Lonchura striata: one gene and its partners. The protein of the gene in region 4 binds, or shares a complex with, the protein of the main gene of each other region. Links are inferred from orthologs where the notes say so. Each region holds a gene or a part of one and is shown on either strand. Other genes may lie near its edges.

Region 1 (6,838 bases), on a different chromosome or scaffold from region 4:
ATTAAAAGAGAAAATACCATTGAAAAACAAAACTGCTTTTGCAATTTATACCTGGTTAAATTTAATGGCCATTTCAAAAGTACTACAGTTACTAAGTGCTGCTTTCCAAATAGTCAATTCACAATTGGCTAGAAAGCACATAATTTAGAAGAGCAGAAAACTAAATAAATTTAAAAAATACAACAGATTCTATCACTTTAATCACTGACTAAAGACCACAGAAACATGGAAAAGTATCTTATAATTAGCTGAATAATTTCAACAAGCCCTCTAAAACTAATTAGAAATAAGAAATTAAATACTGAAGGGCTCTTAAAGCAAAAAATATGAGACAATATAGTACACAAAAGCAAAATGGAATAAGTGCATATCTAGTCTAAGTACTATTCTATTCTAGAATAGTACTATTCTATTTAAGTAGTCTAAGTAATAAGTTTCTGGTCAAAGGTTAAATAACCCATAGGTTGGTTAAAATACTAGTCTTACATATTTTTTTATTATAATGGAACAAACATCTTACCAAAGGCTAGGGTCGCCTCATGTTTACAAGCATGCCCTGTAAAATGAAGAATTATCAAAATTCACCAATGAATGCATAACTGTTTGTTTACTTAATCAGTGTCTACCCTGTTGTGGCAATAAAACTAAGCGATAAAGTCCTCTCATGACAGTGCTATTGTTTAATAGGCATTTCCAATTTAGTGCTTCATAGTCTTTGACATGCTTCTTTAAAGCAACTATCAGGCTTGTGTAAATATAGATCATTAATCAACAAGGATAAGAACAAGGCTGTTTACTTAGTGTAATCTCACCTTAGGAGAGATTTAATTGTATATCAAAGTTCAGCAACCACTGTGCCCCAGTCTGAGTAAGCTCAGCCATCATTAATTTTGTAAAATGCATTTTTGCCTGATCAAATTGGATCTTTTCCATGTTAGTAAATATAAGACAATCCAAGACTGACAAAAACACATACCTGGAAAGTGACATTCCAGCCAGCATGACAAAATAGCAAAACAAATTCATAAAGTCTAAACTTACAATTACTATACTTTCCTGAAAATAACCTAGCTTGTTCTTCTCCAATATTCTATTTATAAAGTGATTCTACATTAACCTCTTGCTCTTTTCACAGTATTTTACAATATTCATTGAGTTGCTATACTCTACATCTGTAATACAGGGATTTTATGCTAAACATGCCACGATAGTCACCATACACAAAACCCACTTTTACTGACCACTAATAAAAGATATAAATCAAACTCACATTACTATGAGCAGCACATACAGAATTTGCACTAAACAATGGGAAGTGAAAAAATTTCCTACCCAATTATAACTATTTAGTAAACTGAGCTGACAAAATATAATTGCACACTTAGGATTTTCCTGAACTAAATTCCTTGTTTTTCTTTTGTCGCAGTAAGTGAGCATAAACTTCAGTGTCTGTAAACAAGTAGAACATCAGGTCTTGTTTATTTCTCATCTTTTATATCACAGAGGGAAATCTTGGGTTTTACTAGTAGGCATCTAATTAAGCAACATGCAGTGACCATTACTCCTGAGATGTGAAAGAACTTCAGCTCAGAATTATACAGCAAAATTACAGAGATGAATGTGTTCCTGCTCACTATTGAAAAAATCTGACATCAAAAACCAATCTAGTTTTATTAATGAAAATTCAGTGTTTAAGTCCAGAAAACCAACAGACGAAATAAACACCTATGTAAAACCTAGTAAAAGTGCAGTAGTTTTCTACCAGTTTAGATGTGCCTGTAAAAACCTTATACTAATAAGAAAAGATGTTTTAAAAAGCTGGTGCAGCCCTCAGTTTTTTAATAGTAACATACCAGAAAGTTTTTGCTTCGTAGGAACTGTTAGGTTGCGGTTTTTACCCCAGAAATTTGGCACCTTCGGTGCAGAGAAAGTTGCAAATAGACTCTGATGGCAAAATTACTGACTTCAGTTCTATGTAAGGAAATACAGACGACTTTTATTGTTTGCTAACTTTCTGCTTTATCTTAGATGCTAATTATTAAAAACTGTTCTTAACAAGAGACCGCATTAAGTATTTGAATTTCCAATGTGACATTCTGCTTTGCCTGAAAGAAGATTTAAAAGATATAAAGGGACTTTCCGGCCCCACACCACAACTGGACTAACCGACGGAATTATTTAACGAGGATGTGATGCGCATCCAGATGCGCGCCCCGCATGCGAGGGAGGCATCCCCGCCTCGGAGCCGGGTGTCAGGCATGGAGAAGCACTGTGTATGTTCACTGCAGCTGCCCACGGACGTCACCCCAGTGAACCACAGAGCCCGGGAAAGGCGGGGGTGGGGTGGCGGAGGCGAAAGAACACCCATCCGGGCTTAGGGCATCCCGCGGCACTGCCCGTGCCTCCGCGCCGGGAGCGGACAGCGACAGCACTGAGGCGGCTCTAGGCCGCCGGTGCCGCCCGGCGACAGCGGCACTGCGGGGCCGCTCCGGGCACGCTCGCCGGCTGCGCCAGCCGCTCCCGCTCCCTCCCGCAGCGCGCCCGCGCACCCGGCCCGCGCTGGCCGCCGCCCGGCCCGATCCCGCTCCCAGCCCCGATCCCGCTCCCAGCCCGATCCCGCTCCCGCCCCTATCCCGCTCCCAGCCCGATCCCGCTCCCGCCCCTGCTCCCGCTCCCAGCCCAGCCCCGATCCCGATCCCGCCCCTATCCCGCTCCCAGCCCGGCCCCGGCCCAGATCCCGATCCCGCTCCCGCTCCCCGCCCGCGCGCGCCAACGGCCGCGGCCGTGCCCAGCCCCAGGCTGAGCCCCCCGCCCCGGGGCGGGCAGGGGAGCCGGGGGAGGGAGCAGCGGCGGGGAGGCGTTACCCAGCGCTACCCGCCCCCGGGGCCGTGCGCTGCGACGAGCGGCGGGGCCCGGCCCGGGGCGCGGCCCCGCTGCCCGCCGAGGGCAGCACTCACCCGGCCCCGTCCGCTCCCGCCGCGGCCGCGACGTGGCCCGGCGGCGGCCGCCCCGCCTCCCCCTTCCCTCCGCCAGTGCGCTCTTCCTTGGCCCCGCTCCCCCTCCGCAGCGCCGCGCGGGTGGTTCCGCCCAAAACAATCCCGGCTGCCAGGGAAACGGCGCGCTGGGGGCGCGGGGAACGGGGAAAAACAAACCAAACCAAAAACAAACAAACAGCTATGAAAAGCATTAGAAACGGGAGCCCTCGCACGGGTATTTCATCGTCCATTAAAAAAAAAACAAAACTGTCGAAACTACGTATTAGCTCTCGGAGTTCAGACTAACAAAAGTAGCTTGGCGAAGAATAAAGTCCCTGGGTAATGGGCTCTGTTGGGCTCAGGAGGGCGAGTGACAAGCGTTTGGAATGCACATAAGCTTTCTGCAAATAGTAGCACAAATTTATGTCCTCCAGCTATGCAGATACTGGAGAACTTCTGTTTGTTGCCTGATTTAATAGTTGATTTAAGCAGTTCTTTGGGGGATATTTTTCTTCCCTCTCAGGGATAATTACCTAATAAACTTGAGCATTTTTGTCATTGAAAGCCTGTATATTCAATTATTCTGTGTAAAAAATGATTAAAACTATAGATGTCAAAGGTTCCTCCTGCACTGGAAGATTTGAGAAATCAGTGCAAGGTTTTCCATGAACATGGTTAGTTTTTTTTCAGAAGTAAAGTTGAATAAAATTAGCCTTCGTTTGATAGCAATTTTCAGAAACTAGAGGTGAGCAAATGCTTGTGATGCTGAGTTTGTGACATAGTTCCCAAGCATTGCATCCCTCAAATTCTGTCAATGAATTACACTGGCTTCCTAAAGAATGACCTTCTGAAACCTGGCTTGCCTGTTCTTTCCTTATGTGTTGTTATTGACAGTCACTAATGTCTCTTTTTGTACTTACCTGTCCTCTGCTTTCTCAAAAGCTTACGTGCACTCAACTGATAGGTAGGGATATTTCTGGTTTTGTTAGGCAGGTCTCCTGGGTTGCCTTGGCATAACAAACATAAACCAACTCCTCAGCATTCGTGTGCTTCCCTTTATCCTTAGTGAATCTCCATTCTTTATCTCCCTGTCCTTCGTAGTGCCCCAAAGTCCATGAAATAATGGCCTTGAACAACCTGGACTCGCTTTCAGGTTGGCCTTGCATTGAACAAGAGATTGGATCAGAAATCCAGATAGATGTTTCCTTTCTAACTAACTTCCTGGCATCTGAGAGGCTCAGTTGTGGCAAACTCAAAACCAGTCATTTTTAATCATTGACATGGAAAGCGGATTTGATATTGTCTAATTTGACCAGCAGTAATAAAGCTATAAAGCCTTCTAAGTAAGCCTGGCAGGAGACATCCACAGGTTTTCTATTACTACCAAAAGTTTGTGCCAAGTTTCCAGGAGCAGTTGCTTCAAAAGAATGTCTTTAAGATTTCTGTGATCATTACACCTTTGACAAACATGAGGTATTTGTGCCATCTGAGATCTATAAGCAAGTAGTGGTCAAGGCCAGTTTCCGTGCCAGGGGAGAATAAATCTAACCTCTTTAGCTGACTTTTTTAGTTGGGTTTTTGGGGGGTAGAGGCAGATGACAATGCTGCAGTTCTTACTCATAAATAATAGATAGAACAAGTCTATGTTAAATTTGTTCCTTTCATCCTGGACTAGTTAAAAATTACTATTCTGGAGTTAAGAATGTTCCATATAGAAAGCTACTGTAAGCCAAGGATTGACATGCTGATGTAAAGAAGACTTTTTCACCTCATGTTACTTCTTACAATGTCCTATGTCTTACAGTTCTTCTGATGTACTTTGCATAGTGCAAAACATGACCTGCTGATGCTAAGCAGTTCCTGAGGCTGCTGATCACACTTTCATTACAGCTAAAGATGTTGCAATGTGTATTCCTGTGTCAGTGTCACAAATATTTTTTTTCCATTTCCTGACTGTGAAATTTAAAAAAAATATTTGGACTTTGCTCATTATTGCAAAAGCAATGCAAGTCAGGAGCACCTAAAGAATGCAGGGGAACCTGTACAGCCCCTAAAATAACAGGATGAGTTTTGTCTGTACTTCGATGGCCTGTGGAACAGACACCAAAGGAAAGAAAGCATACTCCAAACACAACATATCCTGTTCATAAGCAGAGACAAGTGTGCAATTCCTATGCTGCTAGAAGCAGAAAACCAAGACTTTTGAAAAAAATTGAACATGTGTGCATGGAGTTTTTCAATGGCTTCAAAAGCATGTGTTCCCTGTGTTCACCTGGTATTTCAGTTGCAGGGGCTTGTACAGAGAAAGCTTTCCATTATCTTACATTTGGGATGTGTGGGAAGTAGAAAGGGACACGAACTAAAGTGACATTGTGGGTTACAGGTGAACAGTTTGAAGATACCAGATGCATTCTGAAACTCTCGCAGGAATTCCAGGACGATGAAGAATGGATCAAGGTTCTTGTCAGAGCCCACCTTTCAGCAAAAGGTAAAATCTGTCACATGCAGGGACAGCCTCGAGGTGTCACTCGAGTGTACAAAATGGAAACGATCTGGGGCTGGATAACTCAGAGAATGCTAACTGTGCAGTGATATGTTGGCAGAAGTTAATTGTTTAACTCATCAGTGGGTTATTTTCTCTTGATAGCAAAACATAATAGGGTTTCTGCTATTTGGTATTCTGAGCAAACAATCTAATTTGACATAAGGTGAAGCTTGAGTTGGGACAACAGAAAGAAGAAATTTACATATATTACATTGGTAAAAAAAAAGAAGGGTCAAAACTTTAAAGCCAATAATCAATTTCTTTAATAGAAAACAATTCTGCAATATGTTCTGCATCCTGAGATGATTGCATTTTGCATGCTAAATTTCTAGTGGTTTAAATGCAAGTCATAAGAAATAACTATGCTGGAAAGTTGGTGTGCCTCAATACTGGCAGTAGAAATGCCTGTAGGTGTTTATTTGGCAGTCTAAATTTCTGTGGCTGCTTCTCAGAGATCTGCAAGTCTTTGAACTGAAAAGCTTTCCCTGTTAGTTCTTAGTTCTGTCCTTGACTTGTCTCCTAGTCCTGAAGTGGGTGCCCTTAGTTCATGGGGGCAAGTAAGCAGTCCTTTCTCAGAAAAGAGTTCTCAGAAGAATGTTCTTTATCCTCACTGACTTTGTTGAGCCACATTTACCTTCACAAAGTTCTCTCCAGGGTAGATACAAAACCAATTGTGACCACGGATTTTATTTTGGTTGTGTATTATCAACTTCTTGTGAGTGGCAGTTCTCCCAAAGCTATAATTCTGTAATACAGAAAAGTTTTTTCACAGCCTACTACAGTTTTTATTTATAGGCCCAAAGCAAAAAAAATCTTACATTAAAATTCAGCAAAACATTTAAAGAAACCTGGTTTCTTCTTCCTTTTTTGATCATGTTTTCAGTTTAAGACTTTAAAATGTTTTAAGGAAATCAAGTCTTAGTCATCATATTAGTGCAGAGACTTGAAGCAAGGCTGGAATTATGAAGTGGCACAATCCTAGGGATCTGGTATTAACAGGGAATGTAACACTCCTAAATTTTTAAAAACTAATTTTATTTTCCATTTTAAATTGGCTGAAGTTATTAGGAGTGTCACGTGAACAGTCCCTCATATTTCAATATGTTTAACGTACTAGAATGTCTATTTACTTTGCAACAGGAGGAAAAGAAGGTAACCTCATTTTATTTCACTGACAGAAAACTAGGTTTCAGAAGCCATAGGTTCAAATTGTGTGTCCAGACAATGAGGTCACAAACCCTCGGAAGACAAATTTCATTGTCTTCTCTATGAGTGTTTCTTGAACAGCGTCTCCTGAGGTATAGCTAAGTATCTATTA
Region 2 (7,305 bases), on a different chromosome or scaffold from region 4:
GACACTGGGGATATTGGGGGGATTGGGGACATTGGGGACACTGGGGGGATTGGGGACATTGGGGAGATTGGGGACACTGGGGACATTGGGGACATGGGGACATTGGGGGGACATGGGGACATTGGGGGGATTGGGGACATCAGGGACACTGGGGGGACACTGGGGACACTGGGGACACACCTGGGGACCCTGACACCACCAGTGTCCTCCCTGAACACCCATGGCCCTGACAGTGTCCCCGATGTCCCCAATGTCCCCAATGTCCCCAATGTCCCCAATCCCCCCAATGTCCCCAATGTCCCCAGTGTCCCCAATGTCCCCAATCCCCCCAGTGCCCCCAATCCCCCCAATGTCCCCAGTGTCCCCAATGTCCCCACTGTCCCCAGTGTCCCCAATGTCCCCCCAGTGTCCCCGATGTCCCCACGGGTGTCCCCGCACCCTGCAGGCCGCGTGTCCCCAGGTGCAGGTCCAGGGGGTGGCTCCACTGGGCGGCGTCGCCCCCCTGGGGGTCGTCGAGCTGGGTCTGCCCCGCGCCCGCCCCGGCCAGCAGCGTCCAGGCGGAGCCTGCGCCCAGAACGGCCCAAAATCAGCCCAAAATGTCCCAAAATCACCCCAAAATCAGCCAGCAGCGTCCAGGCGGAGCCTGCGCCCAGAACGGCCCAAAATCAGCCCAAAATGTCCCAAAATCACCCCAAAATCACCCCAAAATCAGCCAGCAGCGTCCAGGCGGAGCCTGCGCCCAGAACGGCCCAAAATCAGCCCAAAATGTCCCAAAATCAGCCCAAAATCACCCCAAAATCAGCCAGCAGCGTCCAGGCGGAGCCTGCGCCCAGAACGGCCCAAAATCAGCCCAAAATGTCCCAAAATCACCCCAAAATCACCCCAAAATCAGCCAGCAGCGTCCAGGCGGCGCCTGCAGCATGGAGCGGCCCAAAATCAGGGAAAATCACCCCAAAATGTCCCAAAATCACCCCAAAATCAGCCAGCAGCGTCCAGGCGGAGCCTGCAGCACGGAGTGGCCCAAAATTAGGGAAAATGACCCCAAAATATCCCAAAAGCAACCCAAAATGGCCCCAAATCACCCCAAAATCAGCCAGGAGGGTCCAGGTGGCGCCAGTACCCGAAACGGCCCAAAATCAGCCAAAATCACCCCAAAATCAGAGAAAATCACCCCAAAATCAGCCCAAAATTTCCCAAAATCAGCCCAAAATGTCCCAAAATCAGCCCGAAATGTCCCAAAATCACCCTGAAATATCCCAAAATCAGCCTGAAATGTCCCAAAATCAGACTAAATCACCCCAAAATCACCCCAAAAATCACGACAAAATCCCCCCAAAATCACCTAGGATACCCCAAAACCCCCGAAATCCCCCAAAATCATCCCAAATCACCCCAAAATCACCTGGGACACCAAAATCCTCTTAAATAACCTCAAATCACCCTAAAAATTAACCAAAATCACCCCAAAATGATCCCCAAATCACCTAAAATAACCCAAAAATCATCGAAAACCACCAAAAATTCTCCCAAATGGCCCCAAAGCCCCAGGTCCCCCCAAAATCACCCCGGAACCCCCAAATCTCCCCAATATCCCCCCAAAATCTGCCCAGAACTCCTCAAATGTCCCCAAATCTCCCCAAATCCCACCAAAATCCCTCCAAAATCTTCCAAATTCCCCCAGTTCCCCTCAAAATCCCCCCAAATCCCCCAAAATCTCCAAAATCCCAAAAATCCTCTAAAAGATCCCCAAATCTCTCCCCCAAAACCCCTAAAATCCCCCCAAAATTCCTCCCAAATTCCCTAAAATCCCCCAGACCCCCCAAAATCCCCCAAAATCTCCCAAATCCCCCCAAAATCTCCCAAATCCCACCAGAAATCCCCCAAATTCCTCCCAAAATCCCCAAATCTCCTTCAAAAACCCCAAATCTCCTCAAAACCCTCCCCCAAATCCCCCCAAAATCCTCCAAACAAACCCGAATTTCCCACCCAAATCCCCAAAATCCACCCACTACCTCCCAAAATCCCCCAAAATCCCTCCCAAAATCCCCAAATTCCTCCCAAAATCCCCCCAAATCTCCCCAAGACCCCCAAAATCTCCCCCAAACCCTCCCCCAAATCCCCCTAAAATCCCCAAAGTGCCCCCAAAACCCCCCGAAATTCCTCCCAACTCCCCCAAAATCCCCCAAATTCCACCCAAAACCCCCAAATCCGCCCCAAATCCTCCAAAAATCCCCAAATCTCCCCCTAAAATCCCCCCAAAACCTCCCGAAATTCCCCCAAAATCTCCTTCAAAATCCCCCAAACCCCCCAAATCCCCCTAAAATCCCCCCAAAATCTCCTTCAAAATCCCCAAAACCCCCCAAAATCCTCCAAAAATCCCCAAATCTCCCCTCCAAATTCCCAAAACCCACCCCTTACCTCCCGAAATTCCTCCCAAAATCCCCCAAATTCCTCCCAAAATCTCCCCAAATCCCTTCGAAATCCCCCCAAAATCCTCCAAAAAAATCCCCAAATCCCCCTAAAACTCCCCCAAAACTCCCCGAAATTCCTCCCAACTCCCCCAAATCCCTCCCAAAATCCCCCAAATTCCCCCAAATTCCCCAAAATTCCCCAAAAATCCCCAAAATCCCCCCAGACCCCCACCCCGCCGCGCTCACCGGCGTGCAGCCCCCACTTGCAGAAGAGGCGCCGCTCGGAGAAGCCGCAGCCGCTCTCGATCTGCCCGAAGAGGTGCAGCTCCGCCATGGGCTGCGGGACCCGAAACCCGCCGGATTCACCCCAAAAATCCCCCCAAAAAAATCCCAAAAAATCCCAAAAAATCCCCCCCAAAACCGCCCCGTTCTCCCCTCCCGCCATCCCCGCCCGTCCCTCCCTCATCTCCACCCATCCCCTCCGTCCCCCGCCCCAAATTCCCCCCAAAAATCCCCAAAATCGCCACAATTCCCCCCAAAATTCCCCAAAATTTCCACAATTCCCCCCAAAATTCCGCCCGCGCGGCGCTCACCCGCCCCCTGCCCGCGCCGCCACTGCGCATGCGCGGGCGGCGCTGCCGCATTGCGTTGCCACGGTAACGCCGGGCCGGCGCTGATTGGTCAATGCGGGTCAGGCCACGCCCACAAAGAGCGGCGTTATCACTGCGCATGCGTGTGAGGCAGAGTTTGCCGTACGGCCGCCGCCATCTTGGGCGTTACAGAGTAGGGGGACGCCATCTTGAGGGCGGCGCCGCCATCTTGTGTGTACCGCCGCCATCTTGGGGTGCCCCAAAGTGGGGGAAAAAACCAAAATTGGGGGAAAATCCAAAAATTCGGGGGAAATCCAAAAATTGGGAGGAAAAACCCAAAACTGGGGGAAAAACCCAGAAACTGGAGGGGGAAACTGCAAAACTGGAGGGGAGAAACTAGAATTGGGGAAAAAAACAGAAATTTGGGAGAAAACCCCAAAATTGGGGCAAAAACCCCAAAACTGGGGGAAAAACCCCAAAATTGGGGGGAAACCCAGGAATTGGGGTAAGAACTACAAACTTGGGGGGAGGGAAAACCAAAATTGGGGGAAAACCCCAAAACTTTGGGGAAAACCCCAGAAATTGGGGAAAGAAACCAAAAAATTGGGGGGGGAAACAAAAATGGGGGGAAAAGCCTCCAAAATTGGGGGGAAAAAATCAAAATTGGGAGAAAACTCAAAATTGGGGGAAGAAACCCAATACTGGGGGGAAAAATCTAAAATTGGGGATAAATCCCCCAAAATTAGGGGGAAAAAACCCAGAAATTGGGGAGGAAATCCCCAAAACTGAGAAAAACCCAGAAATTGGGGGGAAAACACCAAAATTGGGGAAAAAACACCGAAACTGAGGAAAAACCCCAAATTTCATGTCCCTCCCCTCAATTTTACTTTTCCCTCCAAATTTTGGGATTCCCTCTCCTAGATTTCAACCCCCTCCCCCAAATTCCCGCCCCTCCCCCTCCCCAAATTCCTCCTTCCCCCAAATTCTGCCCCTCCCCCCCAAATTTTTCCTTCCCCTCAAATCCCGCCCCTCCCCCTCCCCAAATTCCTGCCCCAAATTCCCACCCCTCCCCCTCCCCAAATTCTCGCTCCTCTCCCCAAATTCCCTCCCCTCCCCAAATTCCTCCTTTCCCAAATTCCTGCCCCTCCCCCCAAATTCTGCCCCTCCCCCAATTCTGCCCCTGCCCCCCAAAATTTTATTCCCCTTCAAATTCCCGCCCCTCCCCCTCCCCAAATTCCCTCCCCCCCCCCAGACGGGGTCAGAGGTCACGGGGGGGTCACCCCAAATTTACTGCACGGACACCACAGCACAGAACCGACCACGACACCACGGGGGGGGGCCCCCCAAAATTTGGGGAGGGGTTGGGGGGGGGGAGAGACCCCCAACCCCCTCCCCTCCCCCACCCCCCCTCCCGACCCCCCCCAAAAACCCCCCCAAAATCCGCCCGCGGGGGGGGGAGGGGAGGGGGGCGCGGGAGGGGGGGGAGGGACCCCCAAAATTTCCCATCATGCAACACTCGGCGCCCCCCCCCCCCCCCAAAATTTGGGAGCCCCCTCCCCAAAACCTCCCCTCCCCCCCCCCAGCTCGGTTATGGCTTTTGTCGGGTTTTTGGGGGGGGGTCGGGGGTTTTGGGGGTTTTTGGGGGTTTTTGGGGGTTTTTGGGGGGCGGCCCCCCCTAGGGGAGGGTGATGAAGGCCGAGGCCTTTTCCTTCAGCTGCCGCAGGCACAGGTGGCAGCTCCAGCTCCCTGCCCCAAAACGCCGAATTTCAACCCAAAAATGGCCCCGGAACGGCCCCAAATATCCCCCCCAAAATCGGTAAATATTCCCCAAAAATAGCCCAAAAACTCCCCCAAATATCCCCCCAAAATTGGTAAATATTCCCCAAAAATAGCCCCAAAATTCTCCCAAATATCCCCCCGAAATCAGTAAATATTCCCCAAAAATAGCCCAAAAACTCCCCCAAATATCCCCCCGAAATTGGTAAACATCTCCCAAAAATAGCCCCAAAACTCCCCCAAATATCCCCCCGAAATCGGTAAATATTCCCCAAAAATAGCCCAAAAACTCCCCCAAATATCCCCCAAAAATTGGTAAATATTCCCCAAAAATAGCCCCAAAACTCCCCCAAATATCCCCCCGAAATCGGTAAATATTCCCCAAAAATAGCCCAAAAACTCCCCCAAATATCCCCCAAAAATTGGTAAATATTCCCCAAAAATAGCCCCAAAATTCCCCCAAATATCCCCCCGAAATCGGTAAATATTCCCCAAAAGTATCCAAAAAATATCCCAAAAACTCCCCCCGAAATTGGCAAATATCCCTCAAATATCCCCCCAAATTCTCCCCAAAATCCCCAAATCCCCCCAAAAATCCCCCAAAATCCCCCAAATCCCCCCAAAATCCCAAAAAAATCCCCAAAATCCCCCAAATAATGACCCAAAATCTCCCAAATTCCATCCCTAAAATGCCCCAAAACGCCTCCAAACCCTCCCAAAATCCCTCCAAATTTCTCCCAAAATCTCCAAAATTCCCCCAAAATCCCCCCAAAAATCCCCAAAATCTCAAAAAAATCCCCCAAAATCCCTAAAAGACTTCCCAAATCCCCCCAAAAATCCCCTAAAATCCCCAAAATCCCCAAAATCTCCCAAAATCCCCCCAAAATGCCCCTAAATGCCTCCAAGCCCCCCCCAACCCACCCAAATTCTCCCAAATTCTCCCAAATTCTCCCAGATTTCTCCCAAAATTTCTCCAAAATCTGCCCAAAAATCCCCAAACATCCCCCAAATCCCCCAAATTCCCTTAAAATCCCCCAAAATATTCTCCAAAATCCTCCCATAAATCTCCCCAAATTCTCCCCAAAAATTCCCAAATCCCCCCAAATTTTCCCAAAATCTTCTCCAAAATCCCCCCAAAAAACCCTAAATGCCCCAAAATCACCCAAATTCCCCTAAAATCCCCCAAAATCTTCCCCAAAATCTCCCCAAATACTCCCCAAAACCTCCCAAATCCTTCCAAAATTCCCTAAATTCCCTCCAAAAAAAAACCCAAAATCCCTCCAAAACCCCCACAAAACTTCCAAAAAATCCCCCAAAATCTCCAAAATCTCCCAAATCCTTCCAAAATTCCCTAAATTCCCTCCAAAAAAAACCCCCAAAATCCCTCCAAAACCCCCAAAATCTCCCAAATCCTTCCAAAATTCCCCCAAATTCCTCTCAAAAATCTCCCAAAATCCCAAAAAAATCCCCCAAAGAATGACCCAAAATCTCCCAAATTCCCCCCCAAAATCCCTCCAAACCCCCCCAAAATCCTCCCAAATTTCTCCAAAATCCCCCATAAATATTCTCCAAAATCCCAAAATTCCCCAAATCCCCCCCAAAATCCCAACCAAAATAGTCCCCAAAATCCCACCAAAACCCCCGCAAAACCCCAAAAATCCCCCCAAAAATCCCCCAAAAATCCCCCCAAAATCCTCCCAAAATCCTCCCAAAATCCCCAAAATCCCCAAAATCCCCCAAATTCCCTGCAAAACCCCCCAAAATATTCCCCAAAATCCCACCAAAACCCCCTCAAAACCCCAAAAATCCCCCCAAAATCCCCCCAAAATCCTCCCAAAATGCCCCAAAATCCCCAAAATCCCCCAAAATCCCCCAAATTCCCTGCAAAACCCCCCAAAATATTCCCCAAAATCCCTCCAAAACCCCCACGAAACCCCCAAAAATCCCCCAAAATCTTATCCAAAATCTCTCAAAATATTCCCCAAAATCCCCCAAAATCCTCCCAAAATGCCCCAAAATCCCCAAAATGATCCAAAATCCCCCAAATTCCCTCCAAAACCCCCCAAAATATTCCCCAAATTCCCTCCAAAACCCCCACGAAACCCCCACAAATCCCCCCAAAAATGCCCCAAAATCCCTCCAAACCCCCCAAAATCCTCCCAAATTTCTCCCAAAATTTCTCCCAAAATGCCCCAAAATGCTCAAAAATGCCCCAAAATGCCCAAAAAGGCCCAAAACGCCCCAAAGTACCCTCGGGGGGCTCGGCCATGGGCGGGCTCAGGCAGTACATGTGGTAGCCGCGGTCGCAGTCGTCGCAGAACAGCAGCTGCTCCTGGGGCCAAAAAAGGCGATTTTGGGCAAAAGCAAAAAAATGGGGTTTGGGGAAAAAGAACGGATTTGGGGAAAGGACGGGGCCGGGGGAAAGGAATGGATTTTGGGGGGAAAAAAGGGATTTTTGGGGGAAATAAATGGAATTTTTGGGGGGAAATGGAGGGGTTTGGGGTAAAAAGAAAGGGGGTTTTGGGAAA
Region 3 (6,210 bases), on a different chromosome or scaffold from region 4:
GGTCAGGATGAACGCCCCCAAAGCCAAGCTGCCGTGCAGCACCTTCCAGGGAAGCTTGGGGCCACTCCATGTGTAGGGAATGCGGTAAACCAGGGCAGCTGTGAGGGGGAGAACAAGGTCAGGAAGGAGCTGTGGCGGGATCCCCGCGCTCCCTTTGCTCACCTGCGCCGTAGAGCACCACCAATCCCGTCACCATCAGCACGGGGTGCCAGTTGAATGTCCGGGAGCTGCCGTCCAGGGAAAAGCCCCCGCGCCAGTGCTGGCACCAGGAGCCCACCATGGCCACGCAGAGCAATCCCAGCGTTCCCAGGAAGGCACAGAAGGGCAAGAAGGGCACGTCCAGCATGGCCGCGGAGCGCTGGTGGCACCTGTGGGCGAGTGAGGAGCCGGCTCAGGCTCCGGATGCGGTCCCAGGGAGGAGCCACGGAAAGGGGAACTGGGAGTCCCGAAGGGTGTGGGGGACAGCTGTTTGACAGCCTGGGGAAGGTGACGGCGATGGAGCTGCCTCCCAGCCACGGATGGTGGCCCAGCAGCTTCCCAGCCTGGTTATGGTGGCAGGGATGGATCCAGGATGGTGGCGCCTGGGGATGATTGAGGTGCCTTTTGGGGCTCTCCAACATCACCAGGAGAAACCGTGGAAAGGGGAACTGGGAACCCTGAGGGGGTGATCACAGTCCAGCTGTGCCCTGGACTGGGAAGGAGGCCAGGGATGGAACAGGACATGCAGAGCAGGGCACAGCACCCCGGGAATGGCAGTGAGGAGCTCCTGGTGTCAGCTGTCATGGTCCCCTTGGCAGGAACCCCATCGCTCTCATTTCTATGCGATTTGCATGTGCCCCCAGAATTGGCTATTTCTGTCCCCTCTGGGGACCGGGGCTGTCCCGACACCCTCAAATCAGCTGCCTCACAGGACATAGAGGCAGGAAAGGGGTGGAGACACACGGCCCTATGGTTCCCCAAAATCTGTGATATCTCCGGGACACAAAGACTCACGGATTTCCCAAATCTGGCACACTCGGTGCCACGGCTCCCCGAAATCTGGGAACACGTGGCTCCACAGCCCCGCCCAAACCTGGACCTGGACCAAAACGCCCGGCCCTGACACCACCCAAAGCCCAGACCACGAGGTCCCTCAGCCCCTCCAGCCCCGGAGCCGCCCACCAGCGCTCCCAGCCCCGGGGCTGTACCTGCGCCCCACCGCCCCCTCCTCCTCACTGGGCGCCGCCATCTTGGCGGGCGCCGCTCTGCCCGCTCATCTCTATGGTTTCCCCGCCCGCCCCAATGCGGCGCCACAGAGAGGCGCGGCGGCCAGAGCGGCCCCGCGGGGCCTCCAGCCGCCACTTCCGGCTCCACTTCCGGCTCTGGCGGCCGTTTCCATGGGGACCAAGATGGCGGCGGCGGGTGAGCGCCCGGGGCGGGGGCACGGCGGGGACCCGGCGGCACCCCCGGCACCGGGACCTCCGCACCCAGAGGGCTTTGGGCGTGTCGGGGGGTGGACCCCGGAGAGGGGAGGGGGCCACGAACGGGGGGAGAGGGCGGCGAGAGGGGGCGCGGGGGATCCGCGGTGGTGGCTGTGAGGAGGGGCGGAGTGACGCGGATCTGGAGGGGCAGAGAGTGATTTCTTAATCCCCATATCCAACTCTTTCCCCCCTCGTGTCCATCAGTTTCTCGCTCCCATGTCCAGCCTTCTTTCCCCGCATTTCCAACCACTTTCCTCCCTTTCCAGCCCCTTCACCCCCGTCTGTCACCATGTCTCCCCCTCAGGGAATTCAGCTCCCAGCACAGCCCTTTTCCTGCCAGGACACGGGGGATCCCTGTCCCCTCCGTCCCTCTTCAGCCAGGATGATCCCTGAGGGGGCTGTTCCCCCTGTGGGATATGTGTCCCACAAGGACCGTACCTGCTCAGGTGTCCAAAACTTCCCGTCTGTCTCTCCTCACTCCTCTCCCTGTGCCCAGAGTGGAACATGCCCAAACCTGCTCAGAACTGCCCATGGAGCTGAGAACAGCCAGAAATAACCTGCTTGGACACTGCTTCTTGGGACTGCACGTCTCCCTCATCCCTGGATTTCCTCACATGGGGATGGGGGTGGATTTCAAGGGGAAGGAAGACACCAGAGGAGAGAGAGGACACAGCTCATTGGGTTTCCCTGATTTATGGCATCCATCCCAATCCCCGTCTTCCCCCTCCAGGTTTGGGACGTCGGGAGAGGCCCTGCTGAGCCCCCTCAGCGCCATGATCCGTTGGGAATGCTGGGGCTGAGGGCTCCAAGCCCCAGGAAGGAGGATGCTCCAGCCCAGCAACTACAGCCTGGTGCTGTTCCTGCAGTTCCTGCTGCTTTCCTACGACCTCTTTGTGAATTCCTTCTCGGAGCTGCTGCGCACAGCTCCGGCCGTGCAGCTCGTCCTCTTCATGTGAGTACGGGCAAGGCGGGGCGGCAGATCCAGGAGGCCCAGGAGCCCACGGTCCCTCTGTTCTCCCGGCAGCATCCAGGACATCGCCATCGTCTTCAACGTCATCATCATCTTCCTCATGTTCTTCAACACCTACGTTTTCCAGGCGGGATTGGTCAACCTCCTCTTCCATAAATTCAAGGGAACCATCCTGCTCTCTGCAGCCTACCTGGCACTCAGCATCTCCTTCCACATCTGGATTATGGTAGGGTGGCGTGGGCACAGCTGCTGGATTCTCCCAAGGGATTTTTCCATGACCCCCAGCTTCCCACAGTCCTTTCTCATGGTCTCCCCCTGGAAGGTGCCCCATGGAAGATGTCCCATTCCATGACACTGTGGTTGGCATCAGGCTGGAAGTGTCCTGCCCAATCCCAGCCCCATCCCAGCTCATTCCCTAAGGGCTGTGACCCATCAGAAAATCCTCTTTCCCCAGAGAAAGCCTGTGCTAGCAGCTCCTGGTTTTTCTGGGATCAGTCCCTATACCTGGGGGCAGCCCACTCCCTTCCTGCAGCTCCTGGCTCTGTCCTGGCAGCACCTTCCCCTTTTCTTTCCTGAATAAACTCCTTCCTAGCTCCTTCCCAACGGAGCAGTTCCCATCCCCTGGACACTTCCTGAAGTTCCCTCCATCCTGCTGCCCCGGAGCACAGGGAATGTTGTGAGGGGTCAGGAGCCACAGCAGCTGCTCCAGCGCTGCCCACGCCGTCCAGGAAAGGGATTTGCAGGGATTTGCAGGGATCTGCAGTCTGAAGCCGGAATAGGTCCGGGCTCAATGCCTAAATCCCCTGAGCTGCTTAACCTTAGAGTAGGGGGATTCCCAAACTTCTCCAGGTGTTACTCCTAGCTTGATGTCCCTCCATCCCGCTCAGAACCTTTGGAATGGGGTGAGGGGTCTGGGAGGGCTCAACAAAACTGCTCCAGGGGTTATTCCCAGTTTTCCAACCCCCTCAGAACCTGCGCTGGCGTGACTCCAGCCGCTTCATCTGGACTGAAGGCCTTCAGACCCTGTTCGTTTTCCAGAGGCTGGGTAAGGACTCCAGGGATCAGGGTGGGATCCCACATCCTTTGGGGATGCTGGGGGCCCTCTCTCATCCTGAAATTCCCTGCAGCGGCCGTGCTTTACTGCTACTTCTACAAGCGGACAGCTGTGCACCTGGGAGACCCCCTCTTCTACCAGGATTCACTCTGGCTCCGCAAGGAATTTGCCCACTTCCGTGGCTGATGGATCCCCAGGATCCCCTGGAGTCTCCTTGCACTCCACAGGCTCTGCCGGGGTCACTTCTGGCTCATCCTTTCTCTAGGGAGCAGTCCTTGGGATTCTGGAAGTCAGCGGGACGCTTGTGGGGCGTCCGTGCGTGCCACAGCCTTGGTTGGCACTGGAATGTTAATGGAAACCCTAAAGGAATAAATCGGATGTGGTTTCCGGAGGCTCCCGGGTGTGTGCGCCCACCCGGTGTCACGGCTGCACTCCTTTCATTGAAACCCGGCTCGGCGCTGCGCTTGGCGGGCGGAGTTCGAACGGGGCCGTTCCCGTGTTCCGGTGTGGGATTCTTCTCCCAGCGGATACGAGCGGGCGGGTTTAGGAGGGAGGGGACGCGAACCCGCGCGGCGCTCCGCCCACGGAGCGGTGCGGCGGGAGCGGCGCGCGCACCGCCGGGAGCGGCGGGGACCGAGCGGCCGCGCGCGCCCGCCCCGCCGCCCCGCGCGCCCGCCCCGCGGCCCCGCGCGCCCGCCCCGCGCGCCCGCCCCGCCGCCCCGCGCGCCCGCCCCGCGCGCCCGCCCCGCGGCCCCGCGCGCCCGCCCCGCCGCCCCGCGCGCCCGCCCCGCGGCCCCGCCCGCAGCGCCCCCGCGCGGGCGAGCGCGGCGGCGGCCGTCCCCATGGAGATGGAAGATGGCGCCCAGGGGTGGGAGCGGGACCGGGGGGGAAACGGGAGCTACCGGAGGGCAGCGGGGGCTACCGGGAGGAGCTCGGGCTGGGAGCAGCGCTGGGAATGGGCTAAGGGGGCGGGCAAGGCGCTGCAGGGCTCCGGGGGCCGCGCTGCCCTGCCCGCCCCGTGCTCTCCCCCCCCCCCTCACGGCCGCCCCGTGTCCCCTCAGGCCGCCATCGCTCCTCGGCTCCGCTGCAGGTCCTGCTCTTCCTCAACGGCTGGTACTGCGCCACGTATTTTCTCCTGGAAGCGTTCGTGTTCGTGTACAAAGGTGAGTGCTTCGCTCCAGAGCTGTTCCCCATCCCGCCGGGGTGGGCAGGAATGCGATGCTGAGGGCGGTGCTTTTCCGGCAGTGCTGCTCCTGCCCTATCCCGTCTACAACTTGGTGCTGGACGTGGTGCTGCTCCTCCTCTACCTCGGCATTGAGGCCACACGCATCTTCTTCGGTGAGTGCCCCTGAATGCCAGAGGCTCCACAGGGAGTGCAGGGTCCTGGGACACCCCCGAAGACATCCCTGGAGGTTCAGGTTGGAATGGGGCATGCAGCAGCCTGGGCTAGATGAAGGTGTTCCTGCCCACGGGAACGGGACATTTAATTCCCCACCCAAAACCCTCCCATGTTCTGATCCCAGCTCTGTGTTCCACAGGCTCCAAGGGGAACCTGTGCCAGCGGAAGGTGCCGCTGTCCCTCAGCCTGGCGCTTACAGTGCCGGCGGCTGTGCTGGCTGTGTACTACCTGCTGCTCCAGACATATTCCCTGCGCCTGGAAGCGTTCCTGAGCGCCATCCTGCTCCTCTTCTACGGCCTGGAGCTGCTTCTGGGCTTCCTGGCACTGCTCTCCTTCTCCAGGTGCCGCATGCTGGGAACTGGGGGAGCTGGCGCAGCAGCTGCCAGGTTGGTTTGGGACCCACACATCCCTGTCTCTGTCTTTTCCACAGCATGGATCCCTACTGAGGACACGGCCCAGGGACACAGGGAAGCATCACCCGTGCCAGCTCCACTTCCCAGCCCCGGGAATGGGGATGATCCCACCCTTCCCACTGACCATTTCATCTGGTGCCTCCTGGACACATCCCTCCCATTTTTCCTACTTCCCACTTCACCAGGGACCTGCTGCCACATGGATTCATTCCTCCCTCTTCCCACTTCCCACTTCACTCACTCTCCCCTGGGCCTATCCTTCCCACCTTTCCCACTCTCCACTCCACTTGGACTCCTCAGAGCTTGAGCCAGCTCAAGGTATGAAGAATCCTTTTTTTTTTCTACGACCTTCCAGAATAATTCACTATTTTCCAATAAATATTTATTTTTACTCGTTGCCTGGGAATGTTCAGGTGCTTCCAGCACCTCAGAGCCAGTTTGGGAAGCACAGGAGCCCATTGGAGGAGGAAGAGGGTGAGGGACAACGGGTGCACAGACCTCCCCAAATCCCTCCCATTCTCTCATTATCCCAAATCCCACCGTAGGAAGGCAACAGGAGCACTGTATAAAAGACTGACAACGTCATCTGAGTTTATTACACAATTCCAACCTATCCAAAGACAAATCTAATCACTGCGAGCAGGAGGGGCGGCGCCTCGCCGGGGCTTCCAGGGATTTGCTCTGCAATTTGGGGGGGAATCTTTTCCCCCCTCTCCACTATTTGGAAAGAAACTAAAAATCTGTGGCGGTAAGTAAAAAAAAACCCGGAGCTCTCCCGCCGAGTGCTCCCACCTCGTGGGGCTTGGGAAAATCGGGGTGGTTTCTCCTGGATTTGGGTTATTTCAACTTAAAAAGACTTCCAGGGCCTGGGTTTTCTCATCCGAGTGTGATTCCAGCCCTGAAAATCACCCAGT
Region 4 (6,946 bases):
AAGAGGCTTAAAGCATTTTGCATTTCTCCATGTTCCAGTAATCACGGGCTTTGATTTCCCTTGAAAAACAGGGATGCAATGGAATAAAGCTGTTCTGGAAGTGGGAGGAGGTTTTGCTCTGTCTCTAGCCATGGAGGAACTATAAGGTTGTGGAGTGCTGCTCTTGCACCTCGTGGCACCCTGCATGCTTCCAGCTGGGATGGCTTTGTGTGAACCACCTGGATTCTCAGAAGCTCTCTGGGAAACTCAAGGAGGGTTTAGGAGCCAAGTTTAAAGTTCCAGCCCTGGGCTGGTACTTCCTAGGGGTATGCAGTGGCTCCTGCACCCTGATTCCTGCCTCCTGCCAGGGCTGATGCTGAGCAAGGACAGGCACAGCTGTGGGGTGAGCTGGAATGTTTTAGAGGTGCTAACCGCTCACTTCCACTTTTCCTAGGCTGTGTTAGCTGGTGCAAGGCTGGGATCAGCTGGGCTGTGCCTGGGTGCTGTTCTGGAGTCTCCACAAAGCTCAGAAACAATGTCTGTGGGTTCAAGCACTGTTTAATGCTCCTTGCCAGGATCAGCTGTGTGGGGTGGAGGGGTCATGCAGCATCATCCCATCTTGGCTGCCTGTCCCCCTGTGCCCTCTGGCTCCAGCTGGCCCCTCGCACCCTCCTGGAACTGCCGCAGGTAGAACTGTGCCGCCAGATGCTTGGTCATGGTCCTCAGTGCCAGGAAGGCAGCCACGATCTCGGGGAGGAGGAAGGTCAGGAACAAGCTGTGCATGGGCACCTCCAGCGGTAGGTGGATGACCTGCCTGTCCATCAGCAGGAAGAGCAGGAGGGGCAGCTGGATCAGGAAGGAGAGGAGCAGGAACCCAGCCAGCTCAGGCACCTGCAAGACCAGAGGCTGCTGAGACAGGGCAAGAAGGCAGTGGTGGGCTGGGGGGACCCTCTGTGCTCCTGGAGCTTCCTGCATCAGCCTCTGCTGGCCTTGGTGCCCAGGGACTAGGGATGTCCCTGCTCCATTGAGTTGTGGTGAGATGCTGTCAAACCCCCCCAGTGGAGAGACACAGCAGGAGGGCAAATGGGTCCCTTTCATTCCTCTCTCCAGGTCATGCCTTCACCCATGATTCTCTTCTAGGACAGTTCCAGGTAGACCTCCAGAGAAAGGACAGTGATGGACACATGGCTCATAAGTGAGGAGAAATCCAGCTCCCCCAGCTGGGCTGATCCTCTCTGAGCACAGAGGCCAGGGCAGGCAGTGCTTACCTTCTCCTGGAGGTTCCCCAGGTAGCCCAAGTAGAGGCGGGAGCCCTCAGCCAGCGAGAGGATAAGGAAGGCTGTGACCAGCAGGAACTGATAGTGCCAAGGCAGCAGGTGGTACTGTTATGGGAGCACAGCCTTGTTCAAGTCTAGCTGTCCATGCCCAGTTTCCCTTTCTTCTATGCACCATTCCCTGCTCTCCATGCCTTGTGCCCTCCTCCCCATACCCAGCTTTCCATGCTCTGCCAGATCTCACCATGCTGGTGCACAGCTCTGCCTACTCTTCCCCCCTGTTTTAACCATTCTTGCCTGGAAAGTTAATGATTTCCATCTCTAGCAGACAGAAATGAACAATCTTTTCTCATGGGGGTCAGGGCATTTTGGGACTCCAGTAATTCTGAAAAGGTTCCTCTGTCCGCTGCCCATTTTGTCCCCCACCCAAGCCCAGGGAGACTTGGCAGGAGCAGCTCCTCCCATCCCCACGTGCCCCATGGGATGGTACCTTCAGGTGCAGCATAATTCCCTCAGCCAGGCACCAGACTGGGAAGTAGTAGACGTTGAAGTAGAGCATCACCTGGAGGGGCAGGCTGGACAGCACCTTTTGAGCTAGGCAGGACAGGCAGGAATAGGCAGGCTGCTCACCAGCCCCGGGGTCCCCCTGCCCAGAGGGACCCCCCCCTCACAGTGGAGGTGAGCAACAGACCCTGGGTCCCACAAGCAGCTGATTGCAGCAAATGTTCTTGATTTTGCTCCCCTCCCTGTTGGGTGGTTTCGGGGACTCTTTGGGTGCTTTGGTGATGTGCTGAGTAGGGTCATGGGGATGGACACCCCCTGTTCCCAAGCCCCCCTGTGCAGGGTCATGGGGATGGACACCCCCTGTTCCCAAGCCCCCCTGTGCAGAGCCCTCTGCGCATACCTGGCTGGTAGCCGTGGGCAGTGCTGCTGTCCCACGTCTTGTTGTTGATGAAGAGGGAGCCACTGAAGGCCACCAAGCCTCGGCGCAGGCTGGGGGGCAGTGGGGTGGGTACAGCCATGGACAGCAATCCTGCTCACACCAGCCCGGCTCAGCCCAGATTAGCCAGGAGGGAATCAGTGAGGTGGCAGGCCAGGCTAATGCGCAGGGCCATATGGCCATTGGCTCCCTGGGGACAGGGCTGCTGACCTGGAACGGGGATCTGAGGAAGGAGAATTCCCACCTTGGAACACCAAGCCCATGCAGGAATCACATGGTGGAGTTGCAAGGAAGTCACAAGTCACAGAGCATCTCCTGTCAACAGCATCTTTAGGGGGTGACAGCAGCTTGTACCCGTCACTGTGACTTGAAGCAACTGCACCCTCTCTCAGCCAGGCTCTATCAATACAAATATTGCTCAAAGACCCCTGACAGATGAGGATGCCTCATGAGAGGATGGTACTCTTCACCTGAAATGCTTCTTCAAGGCCTCCAGGTTCATGGAGCATTTACCCATCACTGTGAGTTCCTCAAGCCCCACCCAGGCTCAGGGGTGCTGGGGAGGGCAGTGGGGGATGATGTGTTAGCGGGTGGCTGAGCCAGAGATGACTGGGAGTGAAAGGTTCTTCAGGAACTTCAAGTTGAAAATCACATAATTATTAAGGTGGGAAAACCCCTCAAAGATCATCAGGTCAAATCATTAACACAGCACTGCCAAAGCCACCCCTAAACCATGTTACATCTACACATTTTTTGAACACTTCCAGGGATGAGGGCTCCATCACTGCCCTGGGAAGCCTGTATAAGAGCTGGACAAACCTTTCCATGAAGAAATATTCCCTAATATCCAAACTGAGCCTCCCCTGGCCCAGCCTGAGCTGTTCCCTCTCCATCTGTCCCCATTCCCTGGGAGCAGAGCCCAACTCCCCGGCTGTCCCCTCCTGTCAGGAGCTGTGCAGAGCCACAAGGTCCCCCCTGAGCCTCCTTTTCTCCAGGCTGAGCCCCTTCCCAGCTCCTTCAGCTGTTCCTGGGGCTCCAGCCCCTTCACCAGCACTGTTGCCTTCTCTGGACACACTCTGTCAGTTCTACCCAACAGATCTAGGTCTACCCAACAGACCTCATGATCTTCAGCTCACCCCATAAGGTGCATCAGAGAAGCTGCAAATAGTGAAAGCAAGTGCTGTAAGTGAGGTCCTTAAGGGCCAGAAACTGTCAAGGAACACAAGAAACCAAAGAAAGAGATTATTCTTTTCCTGAATAAAGCTAAAATGAAATTGCAGAGCTCACTGCCATATGCTGTCAAAACCAAACCATCTGGGGCTGAAAGCATGGTTAAACCAGCACCTGATTGGCTGAAGTTACAGGACCACAGAATGGTTTGGGTTGGAAGAGACCTGAAAGCTCATCTCATCCCACCCCCTGCCATGGGCACAGACATCTTCCACTATCCCAGGGTGCTCCAAGCCTCATCCATCCTGGCCTTGGACATGTTCAGGGAGCCAGGAGCAGCCATAGCTGCTCTGGGTACCCTGTGCCTGGGCCTGCCCACCCTCACAGAGAAGAATTTCTACACTACATCCCATCTTCTTCTCAACATCCCAACCTGCCTTGTCCTGTCCCTCTATCCCTTGTCCCCAGTCCCTCTCCAGCTCTCCTGGAGCCCCTTTAGGCCCTGCAAGGGGCTCTGAGCTCTCCCTGGAGCCTTCTCCTCTCCAGGTGAGTACCGCCAGCTCTTCCAGGCTGGCTCCAGTCTTCAGAGGATCTCTGTGGCCTCCTCTGGACTCATTCCAGCAGCTCCAGGTCCCTCCTGTGCTGAAACCCTAGAGCTGGATGCAGTTTTCCAGATGGGGTCTTACCTGCATGGGGCAGATGCTAAGCCCCATCTGTCCCCCAAGTCCTGCCAGCACACAGGTGAGACATGGGCAGGGTGACAGACATGGCCCAGAATCTGAGGAGCAGAAGCTCGTGGAGAGCTCAGGATCTGGAGGCACCAAATCTGCATGGGCAGGCAAGGTGAGCAACCAAGATGATACCTGGGCAGTCTGGTGGAGGTAACTGACATGGGGCAGAGCAGCTGGGGGTCACTTCACGTGCCCCAGCTGGGCTCTCATTCCACATGGGAACAGGCAGTTTCTTAAGAAGAGATGGAAACTTTCTGTCCTGGCGTGAGAGGTTGCAAGATGTGCCTGAAAGGTGGCAGAGAACACAACCCAGCCTTGCCCAGTTCCAGGACAGACTCGCCACTGGGAAGCATTTGCCAAGGCACTAGATAAGGGTCTCAGGTTCAACACCACCCCACACCTGTGCAGAGAAGCAATACCATCTGAGCCAGCTCTACCTGTGACCTGACATGTACCAAGGAAAGCTACAGTAGTGACTGGGATTTCTCATGTCACGGGTGATATTACCAGCCCTGGTTGAAATAACTCCTCTGTAAAAAGCAGGAAATGGGACTTGTTATCCCCACTGCAGCTGCAGACTGGGATTGAAGGTCCTTCCTCAGCCCCTGAATGGTCTTCAGCCCTGTGAACATGGGGGTGATGCCCATTCTATGCAGCTCATGCACAATACTGAATGAGGCCTCATCAGAGGCAAAGGAGGTTAAAAAGCATCTTCCTGAAAAACAAAGCACACTGCCAGTGTGTCCCCATTGTAGCAAAGCTGTGCTGGGAGAGCTGCCAGTCTCACCCAGCATGAAGAATATGACAGAGAGCTTGGGGAAAACACACCTGCAGGGAATGCCACCCTCTGGTGTCCCAGAGTCCCCTGGCACTCCAGCTGGGTCCCCTGGTGAGCTGCCAAAGCTGAGTCCAACTATCCCACCAGCAGGACACGGGATATAAAGCCAGATCTTTGTGAGCAGTGGGCAGAGGTGAGGCAACACCCGGGCAGCTGCCTCCACCTGGGCAGTGCCCATGGCCCTAGGCCACTCTGTAAGAACCCTGCCTGGGGCACCAGGAGCTGAGCAGCCCCAGCCACCCCTGCCCTCAGAGGAGGATCTGTGGACAGGAACACTGATATTTGTCTTTTGGAACCTGAAATGAGACTTGCAAGTTCCCATTGTTTTGTGGATCCAGCAGACACACAATGATCCCTGTTCATCACAGGATGTGTGCTGGAGTGTGCACATCCTGCTACCATCCCTCCTGGTCATTCCGCCTGGGAAAAGCTTTGCAGTGAAACCAGGAGAGACCAACCAAAGATATGATAGACACTGGTGCATTTCTACCCAGCCAAGATCTGAAATACTGGAAATACAGGTGAGCTGGACACAGGTGGGAAGTCTCCAGAGAATAGGTTCTTGAACAATCTGGCCAACATGAAAACCCAAGGTCTTGGAAGAAATCAAACATGACCCAGACCTCAAGAATAGTATTGCTTTAATTTGTAGGGGGTGAATCAAATTAAAAATATAAATCCTCTTGTTTGGGACTCAGGGTAAAACACTGCTGGGGAAAGAGTCACCCCCAGAACAGAGCACTGGAGTCTCTCCAAGGGGGACCCTCAATCCCCACTCTGCTGGGCTGATGGACACTGGGCTGTGGCTGGCCAGGTTCACTCCTGAGCTGGAGATATGGCTCTTCTTCAGCATGGGGCCAGAAACAGGACAGCAGAGCACTAGCGTGGTGGGCTGGGAAATGCAGCTTTGTCACTGCCAGAGAATGGACAGCCAGAAATACCACCCCCCCCCAGCTACTTTTCCTCTAATAACACCTCAGCAACAGCACTGATCCCACGAGAGCATTAAGGAGAGATAACCCAAGTCTGACTGGAAGGGTGGCCACCCAGTCCAGGGCTGCAACTGAGCCATCACAGCTCTCAGGTACCCCTGCTATGCACTCCGGGAATGGGCGAAGAGCTGCCAGTGCCCCAGCCCAAACGGGGCCCCAAGAGACAGGGAACGAATCCCAAGCCCTTGGCTGCTCCAGGACAGGAGATGCTGGGAGGGGGACTGATGAGCTCCAGAGCCCTCAGCATGGACAGGGACCCACTTCTGCTGGTGGGGCTGCACAGGACCAGCCTGGACAACAAAAGCACCAGCTGCACAGAAATCACCCAGTGTAATCTGGCCTGCCCAAATGCCCCCTGGGGTGGGTGGGCACAGGGAGAGCTGTGACAAGTGCTGCAGCCATGCAGGAAGGGAGTGGCTGTCAGGCTTCGCAGGGATGTGCATTGCAGCTCTGCTGGGAGCAAAAAGAGTTTGGAAAGGAGCATCATGCATGAAAGCACAGGAGCAACCAAAGGCACTCGTACTGCTTATGGGCTTCTGGAGGGAGGGGCATGCGTGGGGCAGACCCTCAGCCCGATGGCAGCATCCAGAGCCATATGGAGCCCATGCCCGCTGCCAGTGCCAAACCTCTGTAGGCTGCTTTTCCAGCATTCCACAGCAATTGCAACAGCAGAGCCCCAGCCCAGCCCAGCAGGCACAGGGGCAGAGGAGCTGTGTGAGATCCTCTTGGGAAGGTCAGTGCACAATGCCAGGTTCATAAAGGTCTCAAAAGGAAATGGCTGAACCATGGGGTTCCCACTGGGCCATGGAGCTGCTGTCCCATCTCCCCATGGTGAGTGCAGCATCAGGACAGCTCAGCCATCCGTGGCTTTAGGTGCCTTTCCCTGTTAGCCAGGACATGTCTCCAGTTCTAAAAGAGAAAAAATACACAGTGCTGTAAGGGGTTTCTCAACGTGCAGAGGCAAATGCTCTTGGTGTGCCTTGGTGCTAGTCCAGTACTTGATGGCCATCCCACCAACCAGC

The links. Proteins that work in one complex are often made in the same cells at the same time.
Region 1: TMEM17 (region 4) and AHI1 share a complex: the UniProt entries of both Homo sapiens proteins name them as parts of the tectonic-like complex. The link is inferred for Lonchura striata from reciprocal best matches to the Homo sapiens genes TMEM17 and AHI1.
Region 2: TMEM17 (region 4) and B9D2 share a complex: the UniProt entries of both Homo sapiens proteins name them as parts of the tectonic-like complex. The link is inferred for Lonchura striata from reciprocal best matches to the Homo sapiens genes TMEM17 and B9D2.
Region 3: TMEM17 (region 4) and TMEM216 share a complex: the UniProt entries of both Homo sapiens proteins name them as parts of the tectonic-like complex. The link is inferred for Lonchura striata from reciprocal best matches to the Homo sapiens genes TMEM17 and TMEM216.

The regions. Positions count from the first base shown.
Region 1 is NC_134605.1:58,104,346-58,111,183, reverse strand, and holds the start of AHI1 (jouberin), read right to left. Parts: upstream 3,026-6,838; 5' UTR 2,958-3,025; intron 2,454-2,957; exon of another isoform or gene 977-2,453; intron 557-976; 5' UTR 521-556; intron 1-520. UniProt on the Homo sapiens protein: Involved in vesicle trafficking and required for ciliogenesis, formation of primary non-motile cilium, and recruitment of RAB8A to the basal body of primary cilium.
Region 2 is NC_134633.1:4,806,554-4,813,858, forward strand, and holds the start of B9D2 (B9 domain-containing protein 2), read right to left. Parts: upstream 3,026-7,305; 5' UTR 3,005-3,025; intron 2,749-3,004; 5' UTR 2,746-2,748; coding exon 2,658-2,745; intron 565-2,657; coding exon 439-564; intron 1-438. Other genes in the region: zinc finger protein neuro-d4, read right to left, coding at 4,677-4,747, 7,028-7,109. UniProt on the Homo sapiens protein: Component of the tectonic-like complex, a complex localized at the transition zone of primary cilia and acting as a barrier that prevents diffusion of transmembrane proteins between the cilia and plasma membranes.
Region 3 is NC_134608.1:53,696,330-53,702,539, reverse strand, and holds TMEM216 (transmembrane protein 216), read left to right. Parts: upstream 1-3,861; coding exon 3,862-3,988; intron 3,989-4,289; exon of another isoform or gene 4,290-4,339; coding exon of another isoform or gene 4,340-4,352; intron 4,353-4,545; coding exon 4,546-4,647; intron 4,648-4,729; coding exon 4,730-4,822; intron 4,823-5,022; coding exon 5,023-5,224; intron 5,225-5,313; coding exon 5,314-5,329; 3' UTR 5,330-5,685; downstream 5,686-6,210. Other genes in the region: lysosomal membrane ascorbate-dependent ferrireductase CYB561A3, read right to left, coding at 1-98, 163-368, 1,188-1,228; TMEM138 (transmembrane protein 138), read left to right, coding at 2,285-2,412, 2,485-2,656, 3,400-3,475, 3,558-3,670. UniProt on the Homo sapiens protein: Part of the tectonic-like complex which is required for tissue-specific ciliogenesis and may regulate ciliary membrane composition.
Region 4 is NC_134620.1:1,591,245-1,598,190, reverse strand, and holds TMEM17 (transmembrane protein 17), read right to left. Parts: upstream 2,276-6,946; coding exon 2,158-2,275; intron 1,920-2,157; coding exon 1,744-1,919; intron 1,362-1,743; coding exon 1,248-1,361; intron 871-1,247; coding exon 589-870; 3' UTR 520-588; downstream 1-519. UniProt on the Homo sapiens protein: Transmembrane component of the tectonic-like complex, a complex localized at the transition zone of primary cilia and acting as a barrier that prevents diffusion of transmembrane proteins between the cilia and plasma membranes.